Caenorhabditis elegans: one gene and its partner. The protein of the gene in region 2 purifies or fractionates together with the protein of the main gene of each other region. This does not show direct contact. Each region holds a gene or a part of one and is shown on either strand. Other genes may lie near its edges.

Region 1 (9,217 bases), on a different chromosome or scaffold from region 2:
TAGCCAGCTAAATTTGGGCGCAGCCTATACCCAGTCTGAAGTAATAAGATGGCTTCAGAATGCCCGATTGATATATCTTCAAAGCTACAACATTATGTCAAACTACATGTTATTTTGCAGATCACTGGCCCCTCATCTCTCCCTGTGTGGATACCTAGACCAGAATACGCCTATGGTGTAGGAGAATATCTGGGACATTCCCCTCATCAAATGGATCTTATTTCATCGTTAGTCATCGGCGACAAAAGGTAAAATAAAATTCAATGTTCAACTTAAAAGATAAATTTTAGAGTGGATTGTATTGACAATGCACAACTATCCACGAAAAGTGACAAATGGCCAGTCTTAGTGTTTTCACACGGTCTTGGCGGCTCTCGAACATTCTACTCAACATATTGCACATCTCTTGCTTCACATGGATATGTTGTCGCTGCTGTTGAGCATAGGTATGCTGTTAAAAGATTCTTCGAGTTCTAATGGATCGCTTCAATGTAGCCTATTGATTTCACTGAAATCGTTTCAGAGATTCTTCCGCTTGCTGGACCTATAAACTTGTTGAAAAAAATGGGACTCTTGTTGAGAAACCTATGAAAATCAAGTTAGTCGACAGAAATGATAAGGATCAGTTTAAGATAAGAAATGAACAGGTGAGTTTTCAATTTTAATTTTCCCTGTAAATTTATTTTTAAGGTCGGGAAACGGGCCGAAGAATGTGCGAAGGCGGTTAAAATCTTGGAGCAGTTGGATTCTGGAAACGTTAAAGATAAAGTTATCATTGGAAACAACGCAAATCTGGAATTTTTCAAGAATAAGCTTCTCACGACGACTGCGTCAATTATTGGTCACTCTTTTGGAGGTGCAACTAGCATTGCCTCTTCTTCCTCGGATTTCCAAAAAGCAATTGTATTGGATGGATGGATGTATCCATTGGATCAAAATCAACAGGAGCAGGCAAAACAGCCGATAATGTTCCTAAATGTTGGAGATTGGCAGTGGAATGAGAATTTGGAAGTTATGAGGAAAATTCTTCCAAATAACGAAGGAAACATTCTCTTGACTTTAAGTGGAGCTGTTCATCAGAGTTTTACCGATTTCCCATTTGTTTTTCCAAATTGGCTCGCCAAGCAGTTCGGAGTTCATGTAATTGATTTTTATTTGAGAAGTTATAGACTAAAATACATATCAAAAAGTTAGAAATTAGAGAGTAAAATTTTTTCGACTCAAAACTGACATAAATTTCATGTGACCACTCAATTAGACGAGAACCCACCAATCCGCGAGAGGATTGGAGGTGTAGCCAGTGTGATTTAAATTTGATTACAAATAATTTTTTTAAAGTTAAGAGATAAATCTCTTGATTTTTCGATTATTAAATAGCGTATTTTATTTTCAGGGACCTACTGAGCCATATCTCTGTATGCAATCTGCAATTGAACTCACATTGTCATTTTTGAAAGATGGGAAAGATGGTGTTCAGAAGTTGAAAGATGAAAAGTACACTACATTCATCACTAATGAGATTTACGGTCGGGTGAAACTCATTGTGTGAGTTCCAGAAATGAGCTATTAATCGATCAACACTGAACGTCAGATTTTCAATGAAGTAAATAAAATTTCATGAAATAACTTATTATTCAAAACATCAATAAACTTGGATATCCTTATGAGAGACACTTGCAGAAATACTGTTTAATGCTAAATTATTGTGAAAATCATTGGAACTAAGCGGGAGTATACTGTCCTTTCGTTGTTGAACAAAACAATACCAAACTGAGAAAATATAGGAAGGAAGTATGAATAGAAAGTAGAGGAAAAATGAGATGAAGACTGGAGGGGTGAATCCATTGCTTTTTAGAAGAACTCCAAGTGGCTGAAATGTTGAAAATCGGGAAATGTGTTTGGAAGTCTAGGGATAAATAATTAAAGTTTTAACTTAAAGTTTTTGGCTGGAATATTTACAATTGGACCAATTGATGTTTCAAAAAAAATCGGGTTGTTAACTATGAAAAACTAAAAACTAGAGCACACAAGCTCGTTGAACCGACACATTTTTTCGGATTTAGTATACTATATATTATCTTTAAGTCTTGACGAGACCCAGAAGCGTATCTTTAAAAATGTTTCGTTATCTATTTATTGAACTACTCACCGGAAAAACAATAAGCAGCAAGGCCATAATCAGCAAATCGGTGTCAGTTTTTTCCACAGTTTCAGGAATATTTTGGCTCATTATTATTAATTTGTAGATTGAAATGAAAATGGATAGAAAAATGCCAATGTTCAAATTTCGATCTTTTATTTTCACTGTTTGCCAAACTCGAGTAGCTTTGTTTGTTTTGTTCGACTAACTTCAAAATTGTGTTACTTTATTTTTAAGGAGATTTTTAACGAAATAAAAGTTTCTGCACCCAATTTAAAAATATTTATTAGCTGTATAAAACAAAGAGAAGAAGAAGAAAAGGAACTGCGAGGAGCACCGGTAGATATTCACAAAATTTCACATAATTAGGAAGAATGATGGTAAATAGTTTGATTCAAGCAAACATATTCAAGATTATGATGACAGACAGGGACATAAGGCAGGAAAGAGCAGAAGGATACGAAGATACAAACGAAACAGAAAAGAAATGAAACAAGTTCGGATTAACAGGAAAGAGAAAAGGCGGCAAACCGAGTGGATATGCACAAGATTCAAATTTCTAGCAGCTAGTGGAGTAGTTCGTTGTATAAAATAGAAGAGGTGGTAGATTGAAAAAATAATTGACTGTCAGTGTTCGCAGCGAGATCGATTGGAAATCATCGCAGAGAAGAAGATCGGTGATAATGAGAAATTGCATTGGCAGAAGTTTACGCGTAAATCTCTGGCTCGGCGAGTGGAGCCTGTGGAAGTAATAAATAGCCTGGAGCATTCGACGTGTATCGGGGAATCGGCTGCGCTTTTTCGTCTCGATGGTGGTGGTTCTGAAGTCGTGCAGCGAATACTGTTCGAATTCTCTGAAAAAAAACATATTTCGCTATAATTATTATGATTGTTGAGGTACTTGTGCAGCAATTTCAAATTTTACATGACCCTTTTTGCACATATTAGGCTTAGGAATGTGGGGTTTTCTAAGCCTCAACTTCGATTAAATGATCATTTTAAGAACTTCATGGAAAACGTATTGGTAAATATTTTTGCCAAAGTATACTACACAACCCCTGACATTAAAAAATTACCTTGCAAGTCTTGGCATGATCCTTCCCTTTGCAACAGCATGCGCACAGAATCGTCATGAAGAAATACAACGGAATTGGTATCAGTGGAACCATTGCGATGGCGATTCCAACATATTCCGAATATTTCCACTCGTGAATTGGAGCAGAGAATGAGGAGAATTTGTAGTCCAGTGCATTGAGGAATGCAACACCCGCTGGTAATATTGGCAGTAAGTAGGTGAAGTAGAGGAAGAAGTGTCCGAAACAGGAGCAGCATCTTGATCTCATCATGTTGTGAAGATCTTTTCCGAGTTTGTGAGCACCTGGAATAAATTTATTTTCTTGAGAATGTTTCCAAATTTTACATATTTATAATTTTAATTTCAAAGCAACTCACAATAGAACCAAGCTGTCGCAAAAAGTTCAGCTGTCAGTATGAAATATATTGTACAGTATTTGATGCTTCTAGTAGCAAGTTCATAAGCATGACGACCCGCGTTTGTTGCAAAGTATACAGTCAATCCGAAGCAGAATAGGCAAACGAATAAAGCGAGGAAGAATCGACGACAGCACTTGGACCAATTCTCGCCAAAAGCATCCTCAAATGTGGATAGTACCGAAAGTGCCAAGATGGTCTGAAAATTTAATAAATGAACCGTGGATATCCAGCATATAGAATAATTAAATGTGCAAAAACAACTGGCTATAGTTTGATCAAATACTGAACTTACAATGACTGAAAACATTGTGCAAATGCAGATGGTAAGCAGAACCCCTGACCAGAGTTTCGGTAGATACGACACGTACGCCAACATGTACCACATTTGATCTTCACCAGTCTCCAATAGTTCAGTTGGGTGGATTCCAAGTTTCATGCTCAAATAACCGACGATACAAATGATAGACATTGTCTGCACAAATGAGATGATGAGATGCCACACTGACAGGAAGATCGAATCACTGAAAAATTGAATGATTTTGAAATTAGAAAGCTTCAATACTTCTAAATATTTAAGATATTTTTGTTTAAAAAACTGAAAACTTTGATGTTAGTGATTTTTGATAAATATCATCGAAAAAGTACTTTAAAGTATATATAAATACTGGCAATTTTTCACTTTTGCCATTTTTCAAAAATAAAAAAAAACTAACCAAACAAGATTATTACTCCTCTTCATATAACTGCTCATTGTAATAAATGCACCATATCCAATTCCAGTTCCCAGAATCGCCTGCTCAATAGCGAGTCTCCAAACTTGATAGTCGGCAAGCTTTTCCCAGTCAGTAGCCTTCCAGTAGATTTCAAGAATCTCTGTGACACCTCCGAGTGTAGCTGAACGAAGGAAGAACACAAGAAGAGACGAGAATGCAAGCATCAGAACAAATGCAACAGTCTTTCCAACGAATCGAACTCCAAAGCAAATTGCCACAAAGATGGCAATCCAAATGGCTCCTTGTGCAATTAAAATTGGATATTGAAAATCTTTGAAATCGGCAATCGATTCGCTTGGTCTTTCCAAAGTTCTGAAATTAGAGATATAATTTTAAATTTTTTTTCAAAAATCAGAAAAATACCTAGGAAATACTAATTTTCGGGCATCTATCTAGATTCAATACTATTAAAAACTGCAAAAAATGGAAAAAAAATGCCCAAGAATCTTCTACCAATTTGTAGTCGTTTTACCAAATTTTACACTTCAAAACTGTCTCACTTACGTTAGAAACTGCATCATCGAACTTTCCGCTTGAATCGTGTTCAATCTGTTGTTGATCTGAGTAATATTCGTGATTGATCCAGCTTCTCGACACGGTTGGGAGACAAATTCTGGGAAAGCCTTGCAGTTGAGCCATGGGAGACCACTTCGACCAGCATGGAATGTCCAAAAATAGTAGTAGAGGAAGAGGCATAGAGTTGAGAGGAACTTTGTCATACAGGCAAGTACGACCATTGTGAACAGAATTTGAGAAACTCCGATTCCTGAAAAGGTCTTTCGATTAGCTATAGCTAAAATGTATTTATATGGTTTATTTGTGTTCAAATTTAAAATCAGATTTTTTTCAAACTTTAATCCTAGAAAACCCGTTACATCCCCATCTCAACTCCTTGGCATTTGCACATGTTCTTTCGAAACTTCAATATTTTTCCCCTTGCCTTCTGCCATTTTCTCAGTCATAAAATTTGTAAGTGAAATGTTGTAAACGGGCAGAGGGAGACTAAACGAACCTCGGAAGACGGGAAACAGATGATAAAAAGCAAGAACAGGCGCTCGTCCGGTCACTTGTCCAATTGACATCTCCATAACCATTGTTGGCATACATAGAACCCCAACGACTATTGCATATGCAGCCGCAAATGCTACTGAAAAGAATTTATTTAATAAAATGGCAAATTAATTTTTCAATTTTTTAAAAAATATTTCGAGCTTTGAAAATTAAAAAAAAAACTAAATTTATTGAACGAAGTGAACTCAAAAAATTCATAGAGCCATATAAATTTATCAGATTTTTCAAAATTTTCAGTACAAGCTTTGGTAAATTTCCAGGTAAAAAACTTTCTGAAAATGTGGTTGTTTGTTTGTCCAAAATCCAAACAATATTTTTTGTTGAAGATATTTGGTGACAGCCCTGATGAGGATATCATAAAAAGAGACCAAAAAAAAATCCGAAATCATACCTCCTCCATTTTCGAGTATCAATTTTGGCAAGTTAAGGAAGTTTGTCATTGCGAACAAATATGCCATTGCTGACACAATGAATTCGATTTTTGACGGCCACAAATCCCTCCATTCCTCAACGAGATCAGTAAGCCGAAGATTCGACCAGCTGCTCTCCTCGAACCACATCGCGGCTCGAAACTTGGCTCTACCTGTAGAATGAGGAATTAGTAATTGGCGATGGAGAAATTACGACGAAGCCAACACAAAAACATGGAGAAAAGAGAAAGAGAAGGAAGAAAAGGGTGGTGAGGAAGAGAACGGAGTGATAACAAGCGTAGAGGAAAAATATTGAGAGGATTAGAGAAATAGTGTGTTTTGATTAAATTGAAACAAAAGCTGAAGTGGCAATTTGTGGGGGAAAAAGAAAAACACACGATAGGCTGCAGGAATGTATACTTGAAATACGTATTTGGGAGGAGAGTTGGAAGAGAACAGAGATTTAGACAAAAAGATATTGTAAACATTGAAGTGTCAATACTCTTTTTTAGAAAAAAAAAACAGTAGCCTATAGGTTATTTGGCAACTTTATAATTGAGTAACAAAAAATCACGACTTTGTAGATGGGAACTTTCTGATGAAGAGCATGTGCAAAAATAATATTTTCAACTTAATGGTTTTTTTTAAATTTGGAAAGGCTACAGGTTTAGAAACTTTGGCAGTTAGTTTAAATAGTAAAAATTTTAGAAAATTTGATTATTAGCGTACCACCAATTAAATTTTTGTTAAACAATTAAATATTATGAACATTTCATAAAAATATTTCGAATAAGAGAAATGAATACAGTGCGTACAAGTTCTATATGCCACCCCCTAAATTTATGCATGTGGGCACGTCTGAATTTTTTAGAAGAATTCTGCTGATGCCATTTGATTCCAAATCCTAAAAAACCTATGAGCCTGAATTTTCATGACCGTACCTCAAAAACTAAATAAATTAGGTCAATAAACCGAAAAATTGGCCGTACAACTTCTATACGCCACCCTCAATTTTTTGACGATTTCTTCAAAACTTTTGATTTTAAAGAGGTAGTTGAAGAGAATATTTATAAATTTGATTGAATAACAGCAAAGAGTAACTTTTCCTACGACCACAAAACATTTTTGTCCCAACCCGATTTACTGTGGAGCGCCAAAGAGCCTGTAACGTGGATTATGGCTCCCACGTGAGATATAACCTCGAAAGTGTGGGGATATGTTCTAGACACTATTCCAACATCTCAGGTAAATTTTGGTCTGATTTGGGCGGTTCTTCGTGCTGATAGTAAAACATTTCAGTAAGGTCTAGCCACTTTTTGGCTACTGGCATGCTTAGAGGCCGAAATCACGGTGCACATGAATCCAGTGGGGATGCATTTTTGCGATTGAGCTACAGCAGGTTTCGTAGTATTGTTCTTGAACGCAACAATCAAGGTTACTATCATCAAGCGCTCAAGGGCGCCGTGATTTCGGCCTCTAAGCATTCCAGTAGCCAAAAAGTGGCTAGACCTTACATGAATGTGTTTCTATCGAGACGAGGAACAGTCCAATTTATGCCAAAATTTGCATGAAATGTTTGAATAGTATCTAGAACATATCCTCAAACTTTTGAGGTTATATCTACGTGGGAGCAGAAATCCACGTTTCAGGCCCTCTGGTGCCATTGGCACTCCATGGATCTACGAATTGGGACAAAATTGTTCTATGGTTGTAGGAAAAGCTACTGTGCACCGAAATTCACTCAAATTTATTAATGTGCTGTTCAACTTCTTCTCAAAAATTGTAAATTTTTGAAAAATCATCAAAAAATCGAGGGTGGCGTATAGAAGTTGTACGGCCAATTTTTCGATTTATTGACCTAATTTTTTTAATTATTGAGGTAAGGTCATGAAAATTTGGGCCTATAGGTTTTTTAAGATTTGGAATCGAATGGCATCAACAGAAATTTTTTAAAAAGCACAGACGTGGCCACAGGCATAAATTTAGGGGGTGGCGTATAGAACTTGTACGCACTGTATATTCTGCGTACAAATTTTAGACCCACTAAAACCAGATTTTTCATTGCGAGTTTCTCAAAATTCATAAAAACCGATCGGTAGAAAAATTATTCGGGCGTCGCGAACTTTTTCCACAACTTTCGCGAACTTTGATGTTGTTTGTTGCTCACCATTAATTACAGCGGGAAAAGCAACAAGTGTCTGAGCACTTTGAAATTTTCGTGAAAGCAACTTTTTTGCAGAACACAGCTGTTATTACATGTTGATGTTTAGGATTCTTTTAGATATTTTTAAACATGACATTTTAAAATTTAAGGATTTCTTTCAACAGATCAAAAGACGATATGTCTTGACAAATGATTTGTTCTAATCACTGACTGGTTTCAATTTACAAAACCGACCGACTTTGAAAGATAAAACATGACCTCGCTAGAGCGAAGAAAAAAAAGGAAAAAAAGATACGAGTAAATATTCAAATATACATCATTCGGAAGACAGAAAAAACCAACAATATTTCAAAAAAAAGTATAGTCAAGGCCGGGACACTCAATTTCCGCAATTCCAATGGCGAAAATGGATGGATGCAAAACGAAAAGCACGTCGCGTCGAAACGTGCGAAAACCAACACAAATAGACTAAATAAGTGCAAATATGATTGGAACGGACGTTGCAAAGTACTGAACAAAGTGTTTGTGATGAAAACTGTTCTCTTTTTTGGAGACTGCGAACAATAAATTGCCATTTCCGGGAAACTATGAGAGAAAAGAAGAAATTGGATAGGAACCGGGTAAAAAGACATTTCAACTACCAACCAATAAAATGATTGCAATAAATTTACAACTGTCGTCACATTGCGCATCAAACTCCCCGCCCATATTGTATGTGTTCTCGTCTGCCAGATATGAAAGGACATGCAGAGAGCAACATAGAGGAGACTGAGCTCGCCGACAAACAAAACAACTGTACGCGGGTAGAAGAGAAAAGCTATGTGCGCGCAGAGGAGGTGGGGAGGCGCCTGTTTCAAGTGGACGCCAGGTCGGCAGAAGTAAACAGAACATTGAAAACTAAGATGATGAGCATGACAAAATTCATGTTCTGACACTTTTTCTATGTTTTATGTGTTGGCCGCGGATTTTTTCCGGCAAGAACTCTCAGGGACTTCCTCGATTTTGAACACCTTGTAATAGGATATGGATAAATAGATTAAAGGTGGAGTAGTGTGAATGGGACTCTGAAGTGCCCAAAATAGTCTGAAAATCCGCATTACTACATCATAAAACTATAAAAAATATCGAGAACGAGTGAAAATTTGGGCATTATTTTGGCCCAATT
Region 2 (7,087 bases):
ATTCCAGATCTTAAAAAACGCGCGTTGCTAATTTGAAGGTAATCAGCAATGTAATACACTCCATTTCCCCTTAATTTAATTTTCCTAGCGTACAAATTTGAAATATTGTTTTCGACTTGTTTGAAATTTATGAGAAGTTATATTAAATCATAAATTTATTGAAATCTTCCACAACTGAAACGTTTAAGAACAAAAAAACGAAATTTTCAGGTGAGTTTTTGTTTTTACATTATGATTCCTCCAACAATGATGAAAAAAGATTCCAGGAAAATTGAAGGGAAGCAACAAAATGTGGGCATTTTATAGGAAACTATGATATCTACTACAATTCAAATTTTTATACAAATAATTTGTGATAATGAGTTGTTTGTCTTAGTCATTCGAAATTGCAAACATTATTTACAACCAAAAATGGGAAGTAATCTTGAATTTGATAGAGTTCTGATAAAATTAATAAGAGTATGGTAAAGGTTTCGAGAAATTGGAGTATTGAATCACATATTAGGTAGGGAAACCATTTAAAACCGTTAATATAATGCCAAATGTCATAATATCACTTTTGAGAAAACAAATTTATTTCTAAATTTACAGTCATCGTATGCTGGTGAAGGTAGCATATGTTTTATAACATGACTCTAAGAAACTCACAAGCTACATATTTTGAAGAATATTTTAGTGGGTTATGCAGTCTTTGAAGAACAATTTATAAAGAGAAAGTTAAAGTAACTTCACAATCTAGTTTTAAAAAAATGACACATTCACCAGATGATGCCAAAATTTTGCAACAAAAAAAAACAGAAAACTACAAAAATGACACAAGGAATAACGAAGTGACCTGTGCTTCACATAATGTCTCAATTGTAATTCTAGCGGTTTTGTGATGAGTGTGCTCATCAAACTCATTATCCATCTAAACGATGGGAAAACACTCACTATCTATTTTTTTTTCCTCAATTTAACCTCCTTCTTGCTCTCAGTTACACATTACACGAAATGATGTCTAATGTCTCCTACGACCACATTTTATTTTTCAAAAAAAGAGAATGGTCAGTTGGGATCAAAAAAGAGACGAGAGTGTCAGAAAAAAAGATGAAAGGAACGGAGTGAGATTGAAAGGAAAAGAAGGTAAAAGTATTGTTAGATAGGAGAGGAAAAGCGGAAACCAATTTATGTAAATTTTATTGCATTTTTCAAACGTATTTTCATCTTTTAAAAATGCTGTAAAAAGTCATTATGCATAGAATATGAAGACAATTTTTTCCTAGTACTGCATCATTGTCATCTTATTTGAAACACGTCAAAACATGACTTTCCAAAAATTATTACGTAATAAAGATATTTAACAAGAATTTCCAGTTATCTCGTGTACTAGGTCAAACGGGCTGAAACTATCCGTGGCAAATCAGATTTTTAAAAAAGTCAATTTTGTAATTACTCATGTTATATTACAAAAAAAAACTCATTATGTTTATCGACTTTCCAATATTTTGATATTGATAACGAGTGCTTGGTTACTGTAACTTAGGTTTTTAACGGATTAAACAAAATTTCATGTGCTTTTTGTTTCAGACAATTTTTGAAAGAGGAGAAGCTGAAAAAGGAATAACAAGAACAACAAAACCGTCGCAACAAGTTGCAACTTTTGGTAATTTACCATAGTAGTTTTTCAAACCTACTAGAAAATGGCCAATATGCAAAAAAAACTGTCACATTTTCCATTCATAAAATATTTCGACGTTTTCTCTTCTGAAAAGTCCACCAAAAAATTAATTGAAAATTGCGATGACCATCTTAAGTGGCGAAACTAAACAAATTAGTAGAAATATATATTACTACAACTGAATACTACTACTACGACTAATACCCTTCTACTTTTTCTTGTTACTCTTTTTTTCAAGCAATACGTACACATGAATCAGTTTGCATCTGGCAGGAGAAATTAAAAACGGAAAGAACAGAAACCAGTGTAAACGTACTCGAATACTTTGATGATCAATACAGAAAAGGAAAAATCTCCAATTGGAACAGAAATCTGTGTATTCTGTTCAACGAGCCGTCCTTCTTTTGAAATGGGTTACGAAATACATCTTTCTCTCGAGGGGCGCATAAACTTACATAAAAATAGTCGGGCAATGATGATGGCACATTGAGTTTTTATCGTGGCACCCGGGAATAAAATAGCCAAAGGTTTTATGACAGCTTTTCCGAAAGAAATTAAATATTTTTGAACTTGGCTTTCATCGAGTGACACAATAATAATAATCATTGTGTAATGTCATTGTTCGTGGAACTCTAAAAAAAACTACATATAGCTAGATTCAAGAAATTGTAACTCGAACAACACAGTGAATTTTTTTGTAATTTCTATTTTTGCCGCATCAAAACAAATGTTTTTTTTTTCAATTTGAGTTTCTTCCAATTTCAATGAGTACTTTTATTTTTACATAAAATTGATTGTTAAAAAACAAGTTTCCAATTTTAATTATCAATTGCATTTTTCTGTTTCTTTTCATTTTTTTCTGCCTTTTTAATCCTTATCATTTCTTTGATATACTTTAATGATTCTGCATATTCCGTATTTCTTTGCGTCTCTTCTTCCACACGGTGTTTCAGCTTTTCAATCTGAAAAAATTAATAAATCTAGTTTTTCCCACGACTCTTCTAATACCTCTTCAATCTCAATTGGATCTTGTTTCATAAAGTCTAATTTTGCCTCCATTATCTTTATTTGCTTCTCCAATTTGATAATTTCGATTGCTTTTTCTTGTTCAATTGCCGCGAATTTAACATTTTCGGTTTCAATTTGTACTTTTGAATAAGCGATTTCTTTTTCGAGGCTTTCAGCTTTCAAAGTGTTAGCTTCAAATTCTTCTTCCAATTGAGCAATTTCCTTCTGAAACAGAAAATATACTGGATCAGCTTATTACGATACCCTATACTTATGCCATAAGACAATACGCCAAGCCTTCAAATAGAACTTCTATTAATCTCACAACTTACAGCAAAAACCTTATCGTCGTCTTCCTTTACGCCCACATTTTCTGGCATCTTTGGGTCAAAATTAAACACACTTGAAAATATCTCATAGATCTGAAACATTTCAATATAAATGTTCAAATTTTGAATAACTACAACTTCTTTGAGTTCTGTTTCGATTTCTCCAACAATCTGATCCACACTTCGTTCTTTCGGTGGAGATATTTGTTGATGAATGTCAGCGTAGTATTCGCATTGCTGCAAGAGTTTCACACAGATGACATTTGACAGAAATGAATACCTCAGTAATGAAAGTTCTCACAGTTTCCACTTCTTCTTCAATTTCCTGTTTCAACATATTTTCCCGTTTCTCGTGAGCTTTCACGCGTGCCACTGCCATTTCTAGCATTGCTTGACTTTCTTTTCTAAAGAGACTTTTACACTTTATTAAAAGTAAAATTTTAAAAAAAAACAATTATTTTAGAAAGTGTTTTCTAGAAAAATGTGGAGACGATGGTCTTTTGAATTCGAAGTATATTTTAGTTTTAAACAATTTGATTCAAAAAATAAACCCAATAATTTATTTTTTAATTTTCTTGTTTTTTTAATGTTCCAAATTTGTGTACCTTTAATCTTCCTAAAAATGTAAGTACTTCTTGTCTACACGCCTGACTATTGCCATTTTTTTGAAAAATTAACTCACCCTACTAATAAGTGAAGTACGGTAACTAAATTAACACGTGAAAATAGACGGTAGGCAGGCAAATAGTAATTCCCTACCTAATCTTTTCAATATAAGCCTTTCTCTGAAGCTGTCGATGCTCAGAAATCAGATCAAACTCATTTCGTGTTGTCCATTTTTCTTCTTTCATTTCTCGTGATCTTGCTCGCTCCTCTTGAACTTTTTTCGCGTGTTCGCGTGCCAGCCGACGCTTCTCTCGCAGCTTTTCATAATATTTCGTTCGATTGGGCATTTTTATTGAAAAGAGATGATGAAGGGGACTTGCGAAATTTTGTTGGATTTAGGAAGGAAATGAAAAACTAAATTCACGATTTTTAGGTCACGGGTGACTGGGCTTTTTGAGCGGAAATTGGTTTTTCGTATATTTTTCTGCACACTTTTGTGTGTATGAGTGTTTTGGAGATTGTAATGCTTTTTAGATAATGTTAAAAAACAAGAATGGTCCTAAATTTTTCGACGTTGCAAAACGGGTTTTTCAAAAACGCAATTGAATATATAACTGTAATTCATGCGCTTTTCTCAGCTGAACACTATTTTAAAGTTGGAATAGCGACAGTTGGAATATTGTCAAAATATACTCATAATGAATTTAAAAATTACTATGTAGATATATGGACTCTAATGTGTTTTAGGGTTTTTCAAAATTTTCAGACTTTTTTTTTTGGCAGATTGCCAATTTTTTTTGGTAAAACGTGGACACTTGGAGATTCATGTAGCATTTTTGTATATTCAAAGTTCTACAATTTTCAGACACGAAAATATTTTTGAACAAGTTCCGAAGTTGTAATAGGCGCTACTAAAGACGTATAAACTTTTGTGTTTGGTCTTGCAATGAATGAAGTTTCTTGTTCGCAGAATAAAAAGTATACAATCTTCGCTGTAAGATCCAGATCTTTTTTTAGGTCACATTGGAAAGTTGAAAATATTGCCAAATCGTGGCAAGCAAAAAATTGCAACATGCTAATATCTTTCTAACCCTATAAACATCCCTTCAATCCCCTATTTTTCAAAACCCCACACTTATAATACCTTTTCCCTTCAACCCTTACCCGTTCCATCACTTTCCTCCCTATTTGCATCTTTCTTCTCTCACATGACCCGTGATGCTTTCTCCAAACCAGTCCCCACCATCCATTTCCGTGCTTGCATCATCATCATCATAGTCGTCAATTTTTCAAGATTGTATCTGTCTCCCTCTCGTTTCCCCACAGCCGACTTAACAAACACCTCTTTTCCGCACTTTCCGCACCAAAAACATGTTTGCGTCTCTCCGTGTTTTCTACCGAGATAGCCACACGTCAAGTAAGCGCCAGTGATCTCTCAATTGATAATACTTTTTTAAAAGGTTTCTCAGTTAACTGAACAATTGTGAGGAAGATACAAATAGTTATGACGTGGCTTAAAAAGAGAAAAATGATGATGAAATAAATCATCACTATTCATTGCTATTCGTTAGAATGCAGGATATAAATCACGATTTTCGTTTTCGAACACAACTTTAAACTTCAATTTTTCCTTTGTTTCTCTGAAAACTTTGCAGTCATTTTCAAGCTTCCACAGAACTTTACAAAAAAACTAGATTTTCTCCAACGTGGCGATATTCCCGAGTTTCGAGAAGAATCCAGCTTGTCAATGCTGTATAAAACCTTTACTTTTCTATCGTTTCCATTATTTCTTTCACTGCACCTGTTACTGCCAGGTGCTTTATTTCCGCCTATCGTCTATTTTGTTTTCCTCCTACCAAATTTGACAACCCTCCGCAAACACTCATTCCTATTTTAGCCCGGTGAAATTTCGATATGGAGAAAAACAAAAACAAGTGTGAGCTTCCACTTCGGAATAATTTCCGGAGAATGAGAATTGTACAATTTTCTCCTATAAGACCATACAATAAAATTTTATCAGAAACATGAAGCTTTGGTCATTATCATTTTTTGTTACCCTTGAAATTTGATCACAAGGCTTTAATTTTTCATGAGACGTCAATTTTTTCTGATGATAAATAACATAGTTCAAAGTATTGCGTAATGTTTCAATTTTAACATGACACATAATAAATCAGAAACTCGAAAAACGTATTTAAATATAGATTTTGTCGGGAAGTTTAATGTGCAACTGTCTCGATATCTTTCTTTGAAAACATTTAATTTTTATTATATTTTCCAAACTGGATTCGAGAATTCTCGTATTCTTAAACAAATTTACAATGAAAATATAAATAATTAATTTAAAGGAACATGTTCTGCAATCCTCCCTGGGTCCCGCCACGAAACCGCCACGCACTACCATGAAAGGCGCGTTCGCATTCGTTCTGCCGCTCGTTTCTGTTTTCCAGATCTTTCCATCATTTTCTTCATTCATTCGCGCTCTCTCATTATCTTGAGTTGCCGGCTATTTTCGCTGCTCTCTGCTTTTTCGTATCGCTTTTTCACTCTTTCCAGCATTCAGAAAATTGCATTATTTCGGTTTTCATTTAAAAAACTCATAGCAAAGTATTTTGTTATTGATTTCGCAATACTTTCGAAAAGTATCGGAAAATTTTAATGTTTAGTCTGTGCGTTCCTCATTCCCTGTTCTCGTTGTACTCTTAACTGATGTTTTTAAATTTAGTTTTCCGGGGCTCTCTTGAAAAGACCCAATAGTCGTATTGAACCTTCGCCTGATCGCCACTAGCTCATCTTTTAGTCTTATGACGGGCTCACATGATTCTCCCCAGTGTCCTCCCGTTTTCTCACTGCACTTGTTTTGTCGTTCGTTCATCAGTACAAAGTACAAGCACTTTCGCGTCTGTCTGAAAATTGGTTCGGGTGCCGTTAGGACATTATTCATACTTTCCTGCTAGTCGCAGATTATAAAAAAATGTCCTTGACCGTCTGCTCTTTCTTATGTTCTCCCTATATATGCGTCAAACGAACAACTGACCCTGTTCACTTTTCCTATTCTTCGTTTCATCATTTTCTGTAACAAAAATGGAAACAATACTTTACACAGACGTCACTATTATTCAGGCCTATGATTTCTCTATCGTTTAGTTAAAGATGAAAAGAAACTGGTCGACCCAGTTGCATGACGAGAAAAAAGAACACCCCGTTCGATTTTCGTTGTATTCCCTCTGCACACATTGTCCCCTTCTTCCTCATCATTTCTTTCCCTACACAGCACTCTAGAATGTTCTTCTTGTGCAGAAAGAGTGCCGTTTGAGTCAGCGACCCCCCCCCCCCCCCTCCTTTCTCTTGCTCTTCCTCACTGGTTCTCGTAATAGGCGACTTCTTGCTAACAGAAAGTGAGCATAGCAACATTTTTTACTTTGTGGCCTTCAATAATACGTGCGTCGTTTAATTAGAATGTTTGAGTAAAGTTCAACGTGTA

Evidence for each region. Proteins that work in one complex are often made in the same cells at the same time.
Region 1: the proteins of EGAP1.1 (region 2) and snf-1 fractionate together in Caenorhabditis elegans (co-fractionation; one large-scale study listed by BioGRID). This does not show direct contact.

What each region holds. Positions count from the first base shown.
Region 1 is NC_003279.8:4,977,151-4,986,367, reverse strand, and holds snf-1 (Sodium: Neurotransmitter symporter Family), read right to left. Parts: upstream 6,062-9,217; 5' UTR 6,039-6,061; coding exon 5,870-6,038; intron 5,555-5,869; coding exon 5,420-5,554; intron 5,174-5,419; coding exon 4,912-5,173; intron 4,720-4,911; coding exon 4,348-4,719; intron 4,156-4,347; coding exon 3,927-4,155; intron 3,831-3,926; coding exon 3,593-3,830; intron 3,519-3,592; coding exon 3,217-3,518; intron 2,995-3,216; coding exon 2,848-2,994; 3' UTR 2,409-2,847; downstream 1-2,408. Other genes in the region: paf-1 (1-alkyl-2-acetylglycerophosphocholine esterase), read left to right, coding at 121-248, 291-446, 524-647, 691-1,140, 1,394-1,549; W03G9.10 (YqaE/Pmp3 family membrane protein), read right to left, coding at 1,643-1,870, 2,150-2,230.
Region 2 is NC_003281.10:5,933,271-5,940,357, forward strand, and holds EGAP1.1 (uncharacterized protein), read right to left. Parts: upstream 3,951-7,087; coding exon 3,757-3,950; intron 3,402-3,756; coding exon 3,278-3,401; intron 3,235-3,277; coding exon 3,001-3,234; intron 2,894-3,000; coding exon 2,669-2,893; intron 2,623-2,668; coding exon 2,479-2,622; 3' UTR 2,420-2,478; downstream 1-2,419.